Linked DNA regions of Tribolium castaneum. The protein of the gene in region 2 binds, or shares a complex with, the protein of the main gene of each other region. Links are inferred from orthologs where the notes say so. Each region holds a gene or a part of one and is shown on either strand. Other genes may lie near its edges.

Region 1 (4,246 bases), on a different chromosome or scaffold from region 2:
TTTCAGCTGCGTCTTGAGGGCCTCCAAGTGGTCCAGTTGCTGCTCTTTGCTGTACTCAATCCCGGGCAATAGCCGGATCTGCAAGGGGTTGGTAGTCTAAGATTCGAATTACGGTCGTTCTGCACTCATCTGTTTAACGGATGAAGCTTATTTTATCAAAAATGCGAGTAGGTAAAGTCCATTATTTATCTTTAATTGTTAGAAAAGTAATTGGTTCAGAATTCTTGTCTCCGGTTTGCCTATGGCATCAGGAAATTCCAACATACTTGGGCTTTTGAGGAAGGAGTATAAATAAAGTTTTTCAAGTTTTTTCACTTTGAATCATTCTAGGTTCATTTTCAACAATGTAATATTATTTAACAAACACAAATTTAAAAGTGTTGAAATTAGACAATCGAATTTTGCATGATTGTGTAAAGTATTGAAAATTAACAAGAAAAAATGAAAACTTAAAAAAATAAAGATCAAATAATTGAAAGTGGACGTGAGGCGACCATGCTATATAAAAATCAAATTAACAAAACTTGGACTTTATTTATATCACAAAATAGTTACTTCCAAGTCCCACTGATGAAATAATCTTCCGTCGTGACATACATAATGTTACCGTAAGTCGCACAAGTCTCTTTTAAAAGTCCCTTTTTTAATGTAGCTAAAGATTATAATAGCATCCATCGACAGTTCTAGAAATTGAATCTTCTTATAGTTTCAAGGCTGCAATATTTGACAAATAATTTTCCGAACAAGGACAGTCATGGGAATCTACTGGTTATTTTGTACTGGTTTGTTATGTCAATTTTTTTTTATTTTGTCTTTATTCATTTGCTGTATATTTCTTCTTGTTTGAAAGGTTTAAGTGGAAGAGCAGAGAACAGCAACTTTGCTGTTCATTTGAAACCACCTGTTTATTCGTACATATAACGGGTTTTTATTATTATTATTTTTCCTTAAGTTGTAGATACTAATCACCTGCCTCATCTAAAACTACTTTCAAATATACAGAGTAATTCAAAAGTACTCGTACAATCTCTCGGGTGCTGATAAAGGACATCAAACTGAATTAAAAGTTCCTATGACAAAAAATTGTTTGAGTCTTTTTTCACGAGATAGCTACAGCTCTTCAAAGTTAAATTTTTAAGTTAATTTTTTGATGCTTCGGACCATATTTTTTTGACCTTAATTAGCAGAAACGACATCTCTTGCAACATTAAACAAATACCTGTTGAAAAAAATTAACAAATAATGTCTAATTATGTGCAAAACAATAAAAAAACTTGTAAATTCGACAATATCTTAAATTCAACATATTAGGAAACAAAAGAGAAACAATCGATACCGTTGCTAAGGAATACAAACTTAAAAATATATAAAAAAATCTGACTTCATTTTTGTGCTTAACTGAACGTCTTTTATCACCATACGAGTGTTTGTCGAACATTTTTGAATCATCCTGTATAGGATATTTCCGAAATTAGCTACAATACAAACTTATTTTTTTAAGAATGTTCAAAGTTAAATTGGTTAACGCATGCAATTAGGAACGTAGAAAAATTATGAAGTTTGTTAAAAGTTGAATAACATAATAAAAGTTTTTGTTTTTATTTTTCAAAGATTATTAAATTGTCTACTTAAAAACAAAGTTTCAAATGCCTAACCTTTATAATTAAACAAATATTTGACTTTAAAATTTAATTTCATCAACAATGCAGATTATTCATGAGGATTACTGTTACCATAACCTTAGCAACTTCACCACGGATCATTTGTTGGAGTTTAAACAGGGATTTAAAAATTCGCCATAGATAAGAAAATTTTAGTTATTTTACTGTGAAAAATAACTGAAAAATAATAAAGTTATTATTAGCTGAAAATTTTACTCTTCGACTATTGAAACAATTGTGAATAATTTTTAATGACTTTTTTTAATGTTTTAAGTTAAGTATAATCTTTTGAGTAATCAGCACTTAACTGTTAATGTTCTTTAATAGACAATTTAAAGGTCTTTTAGATGCAAAAATAAAAAATACGGTATTTCATTTAAGTTTAAAGTTATTCAAATTTTAACAAGCCTCTTAACTTTTTTTATTTTCTTGATTGCAGTGAGCTAAAAAATAATTATATCCTTAAAGTTTTCTAACGTGGAACCATAACTTTTTTCATTATAGTGTAATTTGTAACATATTTTGCTCAATACTGAAGTCGTATTTGCTATTTCCCGCTTCAATTATCTGATTGTTTTCTCAAAAACTACAATATTACAACCCCACCTCATTTTCTCAAACAAGTGGACTGAGGTTGTTTTTCCCCTGTAGCCTTCAGTTGTAAAATACTGAAAAAAGGCTAAAATTCGACGCTTTTTAGCCCCCTTTACCATGGCCTGGAACATTTTTTTTAGGAAACCTATTCGCGATACAATCCTTTGGACTTTGGATATTATCTCTGATAAAAAGATATTTTCATCCGGTAACCAGAAGATAGTACAGTATGATCCTAATTCGTATCCCCTACTATGGGTATGAAGTGATTAGGGTGGAAGAAAGTTACCTCGGCTCTGGCTTGGTCCAAACGTTTTTGCAACTCGAGCACCTTCTGGGAACAGTCTTGCGACTCTCGTGCCTTGGCGGTGTTATCGTGGTGGTCTTTCTCAACACTGAATGATTATGCAAGACATTACGATTTTGCCTGTCACTAATTTTATCAACAAACCTGCGTATTATTTCGTAGATAATGGGCAAGATCTCGATATTCAAATTTTCCACCGTGACATTCCTCTCTGACTCCTGGTTGTGCTCGTCAGATTCCATCATAGCAAGGCATTTCCTGAATTTTCATTGAATTTTCTTTCCCACATGAATTTTCTGACACATTCACTCAGGGATTTTGTGTCCCTGGTGTTGGCGACGACGCCTCAAATGTCACAAGTGTCAATAATAATGTCAAACTAAAAACAACAATAATTTCTGATTTTGGAAAAACTTGGCAATTTCAAGCCCGCAGAATGGGTTCGTTGGCTAGCAGACAACACGCAGGGGTCGAGGAAGTGGACGTGGTGTCAAACCACGCGTACAAGTACCCGCCCAGGTCTGGTATGTCGCTTTGCTTTTTTCCGTACCAATTACCTTGAAGGCGTTTTTCTGAAGGGAACTACTTCGGGAGCCACTTTATAATGGGGGGCGAGCGCTTCGACACCCCCCAGCCCGAGTCTTACCTCTTCGGCGAGAACTCCGATTTGAATTTCCTGGGCAGTAGACCAACCCCTGTAAGTAGCCATTATGCGGTTGTTTCGCCCCCACAGTGCCGTTTCTAGTTTCCCTACCCCCCGCCCCAGCCTAATGAGCCCACAAAAACGCTCAAAAGTCTGGTGAACATCCGGAAAGAGTCGCTGCGGTTTGTCCGCGCCCCTGCTGATTATTCCAAACCGGCGGAAAAGAACGAGCGGGACATCAGGGATATTGAGCTGGGCAAGAGCTCGACGTTTAATATCGAGTTCACGTTCGATTGTGACGTCAGGTGTGCAATAACAATCTACTATTTTTGTACCGAGGAGTTTACACCAAGTGGAGTCACGTAAGTTGGGTTTTTGTCATGGGTTTGCAATTTTATGGGGTTTGAAGGTACTTGCCGCGTGACCCTAACACGACCTCCGAGACTTTTCATTACAAACGCGGTGCGAACCAACAGTTTTGCCAAATGACTCACGTTTTTGATCCCTCGAAGTACACAGAAGAGGAGTTGTTGTATGATGTTGACCGGGAGATTATTCCAATTGCCATTCACTGTGTGGCGGAGGAAGGCGCTGAGGGTTGGTTTGACCCGTTTTTGAATTTAATTTTTGAATTGATTGTTCCAGAAATGAGACAATCACACACAACTATCGCCACAGCCGAAAAATTGTCCGACGGTACTTATGTTTTAAAAGCTCTCAAACAGAAATTATTCGTTGACGGTCTTTGCTACCTCCTGCAGGAAATATACGGCATTGAGAACAAAAATAACGACAAGGTGATTGATTATTTACATGCCCTACTGGGCATAAATACACAGTGAAATCTCTCTTAACGGACACCTATAAGCGGAACTCTCTCACAAACGGACAATTTTGTTGGCACTAAGCCACAATAAATAATACACATAACTTTAAAACCTCTTCTGAGGCCAGAATCTAAATCAGTTTACTATTGAATAAAACATGTATTCTTTTTTTTCTGACGAATTGTCATAATTAACATGCTGTCTGCTTGAAGGC
Region 2 (2,633 bases):
CAAGGCTGTGTAGATTGCTGTTAATTTTTAAGATATCAGTCAAAGTCTGGGAAAGTAGTTAAAATACCAGGTGTCATCACTTTGGTAGACACCCCCTAACTTTTTTATTTAAAAAAGTATAAAAAGACATATTCAGGGTTTTAGGGAAAGGTTTAGCAATATTTTTTTAAGGATTTTTCAAGGCTGTGTAGATTGCTGTTAGTTTTTAAGATATCAGTCAATGTTTGGGAAAGTAGTTAAAATACCAGGTGTCATCACTTTGGTAGACACCCCCTAACTTTTTTATTTAAAAAAGTATAAAAAGACATATTCAGGGTTTTAGGGAATGGTTAAGCAATATTTTATTAAGGATTTTTCAAGGCTGTGTAGATTGCTGTTAGTTTTTAAGATATCAGTCAAAGTTTGGGAAAGTAGTTAAAATACCAGGTGTCATCACTTTAGTAGACACCCCCTAACTTTTTTATTTAAAAAAGTATAAAAAGACATATTCAGGGTTTTAGGGAAAGGTTTGGCAATATTTTTTAAGGATTTTTCAAGGCTATATAGATTGTTGTTAGTTAAATCTTAATTGTATTTTATTTATAAATAAATTACGGTAAATTTCCAAGTCTTTTATAATCGATTTTTTCAAGCTGAACCAACGGCCTCAACTGCTCGGCAAAAATTCTCATATCCTCCGCAATAGCATCTTGTCCACTCGGGGCCAAAACGGACAATTCAACTAAATAACTCTGGGAAATCGCTTCTACGCCTTCGCCCGGCTTACTCGTCATGCTCCCCATTTTGAAAATCTTCGACACTGTGATTTTCATCCTGCCTTTGCGGAACATGTACCCCCGGGCGATGTACTCAAAATCCACTCTGCATCCAAGCTCGGTCAAAAATTCAACAATTGTGGAACTGCAAGCCATGTCAATACTCGATCTGACGACTGTTGGCCGGTTCTTGTCGCCTAGCTCCTGTTGCCCCACGTAGCGCAGCTGCCAGGCGGCGTCGGGCACGTCGAGGGCTCGCCGGACTCGCAGTGGGAGCACCATGGGGGCCCCTGGGTTGGTGGCCCGGAGGGTGAAACACAATTCGTGGTCGTGGAACGACTCAGGGCCGCTGTCTACGTTGTCGCACAGCCCGCGCAAGCGGTGGAGGAGCACCTCGACGTATTGGTCCAAGACTGAGCCCTGGAGGAGGTACTCCTGGTTGGGGATTATGTTGCATTTGAGGGCGGCGTTTAGGGAGTCGATGGCCGTGCCAGGAGTCCCCATTTCTGTAACAGTGACAATCACTTTGCGGAAAACGGCCTATTTCCGACAATTACTGAAGATTATCACAGTTTTTGGAGGTTATGTTTTGATTGAAGTGTAAGTTGTCAGTGTATGTCGGCGGAGACAGCCCCAAAAATGGTGGTGGCACCATGAAAATTACAGTCGACCAGACAAGGGCTGCGCGCATGGAGCTAGCACCGTTTCCCCACCATTCTCGTTTTCTACAGCCAAGTTCACACCAGGAAAATTATCAAAATAATCGTAATTCATTATAAAAACATCAATAAGTTGTTACGCTGACTTGCATAACACATTTGTAGAACATCTCCTGACCATTGTAATGAGTTTCTATTACAAATTAAAACTTAACTGTATTTAATTTCTGCATTTTTTATTCTCATATTCAAGCAATGCAAACTGATTTTTTTTCACCCCCTTTATATGCAATTTTCTTTATTTTTGCAGGAGATTAAGCTCTTCGATAGGGCCTTTGACTGTTAAAAATCATGTTCGGACAAACACCCCTTGGGACCTTAATGAATTTTTAAAGATTCTTTAAAATTTTCCGATTTCGCAAATTTTATCTTTAAAAATTCATTACAGTATTCAGAATGGCCTCCGAAGGGCGAATCAGTTATTACAGGAAATGAGGAAAATAGTAAAAATAACGAATAAGAATTTTGCAAAATGCTTTTATAGAAAAGTTGTTGTACTTTATGTTTTATTACGTGGTAAACTTAACACACCTTAACATGCCCTTTATAAACGATTAAACGCCCTTTTTCATCAAAATGTTTAAGACGTAAAGTTCATTTTTGCCCTTTATACATTTCAATAAATCATACTGAAGTTTATGTCGTTGACTCAAAGGTAAATTTATCTGTCCATAACATATTCAATAGTAATTAATAACGCTCTAAAAGAGCAGAAACAGACACAAAATCCATAAAAATGAAAGATTTGACATTTCCAAATGATAACATAACCCTACTTTTAAAACCGAATTTTCTGGAGACTTAAATTTAACACAATTTGTGGCGATACCAGTAATTTTCACACCAAAATTTCACATCAACGGCTCGTTTGCACAAATAAAAGGAGGAAAATAGTGAAAATAATAAATAAGAGTTCTGCAAAATGCTTTTATAGAAAAGTTGTTGTATTTTATGTTTTATTATATGGCAAACTTAACACACCTATACATGCCTTTTATAAACGATTAAACGTCCTTTTTCATCAAAATGTTTAACACGAAAAGTTCATTCTTGCCCTATATACATTTCAATAAATCACACTGAAGTTTATGTCGTTGACTCAAAGGTAGATTTATCTGCCTATAACATATTGAATAATAGTTATAAACGCTCTAAAAGA
Region 3 (4,168 bases), on a different chromosome or scaffold from region 2:
CGATGTTATTTTCAGAGAGTGGATTTTAGAATTTTAAAATGTGCTAAAAAGGGATTATAATGCGAAACTGGTCCTTAATCTTAAAAGAAAAGATTTGATAAAAAAAAATAAAAACAAAAAAATCATATTTTTTTCACATTTAGATTTAGTGTTATTATTAAAACTTGTGAATCTAAAACTAATTTATTTTTAAGATTTTTAAAATTAATTAAATTTTAGTAGAGAGGCTGAGGATAGGTTGTGAATAACGTGTGAATTTTTTGAGATTTTTTTCAAATTTGAAACCCCCTCAAACTCCAGAAAAAGAATGCGTTGTATTTGGGAGAAGGTTCGAAGAAATTATTAGGGATGCCTTGACTAAGCATTAATTTATATATTATTAAATATTCAAATTATTAATTAAAAAAAACAATTACAGGACATAAGTTTCTAATTTCCAGTCTAATTTTGATATTGTTAAAATCTTTAATAATTAAAACCTGCCTAAATAATTTTTTTAGAGTTATTTTCATACACAAGATTTTTTTGTCCCATCCGCCATGTGTAAACAAAAAGTAAATTAATCGTGGTTTCAAAAGTTTCAACAAAATCTACCATTTATTTATAAAGTAATTCTTAGAATTAGTGCCTTTTAAATTAACAGAATTTTATAAAGATTGTTTAGCGATAAAAATGTAAGGTCTTTTTTGTGTCCCGTCCGTCACCAATTTGTATTCTTTTTCCTGCTCATATTTCAAATTTTACAAATGTGGCTCCGACTATTGTAGGTTGCAAATTGTTTGACTGGTACTAAGTTCCTATAAAGAAAAATTCACTTCTACTGATACTGGTGATAAAAATTGGTAAAAAATCTATAGTGTCCCGTCCGTTAAAATGAAATGGCTGCTTATATATCAAGAATTGAGGTGGTTAATTAACTATTTTTTGACGTGAAATTAATTGTTTTTTTAATAATAATATAATAATAATAATTTATTTGTGGCAGTAAAACAGTTACAATATAATTAATTACAACAAGAAAAAAAATACGATAACAAAATTAAAATTTTCTACGAGTTGTTCCTACCACAAAGTGGACCAAAAGACAGCAAAGCTGATCAAGGTTTTGACCCAGACAATAAATGAGAAATAACAAAAAAATAAACAATTTGATTGAAGAAAAAAATAAAAAATATAATAATAATAAAATATCTAATTCTATTTAACAAAATTATAGAGCAAAAAAACACATAAGAAAAATCATTTTGTAAGAAACATTTTGTATTTATGTTTAAAATTGCTGATTTTAGAATTTTTTAATGTCAGAGGAACTTCATTAAGTAGATTATTTTTGATTATTTACCATTTTTTGGCTCTCGAAAAGTTTGTACCGCAAACTAGGAGAATCAGTAGTCAACATGACCATTTTTTTATAAATATTATTGCCAACCACTTACCACAAAAAGGCCCTTATTGTTCCCAGACTCCATTTTCCCTTCACTGGCGTGATGTACTATTAAACTAAGTAACGGATGAGTTGCTGATTGTTCTATAGTATCCAATTCAGTAACTTGTTGAATTTGTCTAACTAAATTGACACACATTGGCATTGGTTTGTTTAATTTGAGGACAAAACAGGCCGGAATTGCTGCACTATTTTGGCTACTTAGCGATGAAAAAGACGGCGTACTAAAATAAATTTCCCTCAAAGAAAAAAAAATTTTTTTTAATAATTTTTACCTTTTCCCGTTAATATTCCTATTAACTGTGATGAGAGTGGTCGTTTGCAACTTATGTGTAGCGGACCCTTCCATACACACCGTCACACTGTACCCCAGCGCTTTACTAACGATCGTATCAACAGTAATAGGTTCAATATCACATTTCTCAACATTTAATAAATCATAAGGAGAGACAAAATAGGTGAGTTTCATGGGGTGTCCCCCTCGGCGCTTCTCCAGCACCCCAACCGGAGACTTATACAGCAGGTTGAAAGGTTCCTTCATGAAAGACTGCAAGTGAGCCAAGGTGCTCAAATCAGACTCCAGCGACTGCAAGGCTGTGAACGCCTTACACTTGACCTTTTTCTCAGCATTGAGCTGGTAAATCGAGGCAAAACCTTCCAACTGGGCAGTGAAATCGGCAAAATCGCCACTAGATAAACAATTGACGAGCTCAGCGCAACTCTGTTGCTCCAATTTACTGTCATGGTGCACTTTCACGTCTTTGACGGCCCCCGTCTGGTCGAGCACTATCTCCAGGTAGAACATGTCGGAGGAGATGAAGAGCTCCACCCCCGAGGGGCCCACCATGAACTTGAGCCCCAGCTGCCGCGTCAAGCTCTCCAGCCGCTCGATCATGCTCTGCAAGGACGTCACTTTGATGGAGTGCTGCAGAGTGTCGAGGCATTTCTGGTGCTGGCTCTTCTCGACGCTGTCCAACGCGTAGCGCTTGTCCTGAAAGTAGGGCATCAATGGAGGCAGTGCCAGACATGACATAACCTACAAGCATGGCCATTCGCACATTTTTGGATATCTCTGTCAAGCTTTTGTACTGCGACGCCTTCGAGCGCAGCTTCTCCATCAATATCTCCAACTGCCAGTCTTTGGATTTGTCCACAACGGACGGTGGCATCGCTAAATTGCCTTAAAAGTAAACAAAGTTGTAAATGTCAAAAGTCAAACTCTTGGCTGGGGCGCGCAACCCACCGTTTGTTACGCGATTCATGATGAGTTCGGGCGAAATTAACGTTAAATGTTCGTAAACATTTTCTATTTGGGGCGAATTAAGGGAAAAAAACCGATTTTTCGAACATACATCAGCACCAAACAAAAACTTGACAGTTTCGTTACTTTCCCCAATTTAGGGATATTTGGCTACGCCACCGGCGCCCAATTCAAACTCGTGTCTGATAATAACAATAACAATAAAAATATTCAAGTGCTTTTCCATTCATTTGTGTTTACCAACTCTCAACTTTATCAAGATTTGATACTTTGGAGTGCTTTGAATTGGTGGCACATATGTTGTGCTTATTGCAACGCAAATATTTTAATGAAATGTGGTCGTAAAACAAACTCCCGGAATTAATCCGCGTTTTTTACCAACGAATTTCGTATTAGATCCGTCAATGACAATTAAAGCCGTAATTCGCTACAACTTTTCAACTTTTTAGATCGCAAGAAGTTGCTGACACGATAATCTCCTCATCTTCCCCCAGAACTGGAGCAAATGCCCGCTAACACATCACAACTAAGATAATAGTACACCATAGGCACATTTCCAAAATTTTGAATAGTTTATTCTCGTTTTTTTTTTTATAAAGAAATCAAATACGTTGTGCGTTAGTTTATACCACATAATGTTTTTTTTTATTATTTTGTAGGCATTCAACAAAAATCACATAAAATTGCTTAGTTTACTGTATTTCAAAATTTCTTAGATAGATGTTTTTTACAAAAAATGTTTCCAAACCGTTAAAACATGATATGAGGGAGTTTTAGAAGAAATCAAGCAAGATTGACTACTTTATTTTACTCCATGTGATTCAGATAAAATGAAAAGCTTTCAAAAACCAAATGCAACAAAAAATAATTTACACGAAGGGTGTTTTACATTTTATTTCTGTAATAAATTAATAATAGCCCCCGTCACCTTAGGTATCGTCTGATATTAAAGAAGAACCTTGGTCCCCTTTATACCATTGTATTTGCTGTTTCAAAACTATAAAAACGTCAACGTCACATTTTCTCACAAAATTTGCTGTGATGTGTGCTGTTATAAATTATTCATGCAGTTGAAGAAAATAATAACTAATGTAATTTATACTTTCAATGAGATATCTAATCATTAATAACTATTTTACAATTTTATCAACCTTATTTAAAAAATATTTGGTAAAGTGCGTCGTTGTTGTTTTTATAGTTTTGAAACAGCTAGTGGCAGATTTAGTGTAATAAAATTAAAAGAAAAAAAATTGTAGTAGTTATTTTTTTTAACAAGTTGCTTTGTAATACAAGCATAAACTAAATAACTCAAAATTGCCAGAAATCACGTAAATACATTAGTTTAATGAGTTATAAAAATTCATCCTTTTAGTTTTACGAATAGTTTTATTGAATTTTATAACAAAATTTATATTCTTCTTCAATAAACATTTCCAGAAATTAATTAAGTGTATTTAGAAAAC

What was found. Proteins that work in one complex are often made in the same cells at the same time.
Region 1: MED18 (region 2) and MED9 share a complex: the UniProt entries of both Drosophila melanogaster proteins name them as parts of the mediator complex. The link is inferred for Tribolium castaneum from reciprocal best matches to the Drosophila melanogaster genes MED18 and MED9.
Region 3: MED18 (region 2) and MED1 share a complex: the UniProt entries of both Drosophila melanogaster proteins name them as parts of the mediator complex. The link is inferred for Tribolium castaneum from reciprocal best matches to the Drosophila melanogaster genes MED18 and MED1.

Annotation. Positions count from the first base shown.
Region 1 is NC_087395.1:15,956,636-15,960,881, forward strand, and holds the start of MED9 (mediator of RNA polymerase II transcription subunit 9), read right to left. Parts: upstream 2,849-4,246; 5' UTR 2,808-2,848; coding exon 2,707-2,807; intron 2,651-2,706; coding exon 2,545-2,650; intron 79-2,544; coding exon 1-78. Other genes in the region: Mrgn1 (E3 ubiquitin-protein ligase MGRN1), read left to right, coding at 2,999-3,081, 3,127-3,259, 3,308-3,567, 3,615-3,802, 3,851-4,002. UniProt on the Drosophila melanogaster protein: Component of the Mediator complex, a coactivator involved in the regulated transcription of nearly all RNA polymerase II-dependent genes.
Region 2 is NC_087394.1:9,286,555-9,289,187, reverse strand, and holds MED18 (mediator of RNA polymerase II transcription subunit 18), read right to left. Parts: upstream 1,471-2,633; 5' UTR 1,313-1,470; intron 1,262-1,312; 5' UTR 1,260-1,261; coding exon 591-1,259; 3' UTR 558-590; downstream 1-557. UniProt on the Drosophila melanogaster protein: Component of the Mediator complex, a coactivator involved in the regulated transcription of nearly all RNA polymerase II-dependent genes.
Region 3 is NC_087399.1:8,918,202-8,922,369, forward strand, and holds the start of MED1 (mediator of RNA polymerase II transcription subunit 1), read right to left. Parts: upstream 2,849-4,168; 5' UTR 2,707-2,848; coding exon 2,688-2,706; intron 2,625-2,687; coding exon 2,485-2,624; intron 2,436-2,484; coding exon 1,720-2,435; intron 1,669-1,719; coding exon 1,437-1,668; intron 1-1,436. UniProt on the Drosophila melanogaster protein: Component of the Mediator complex, a coactivator involved in the regulated transcription of nearly all RNA polymerase II-dependent genes.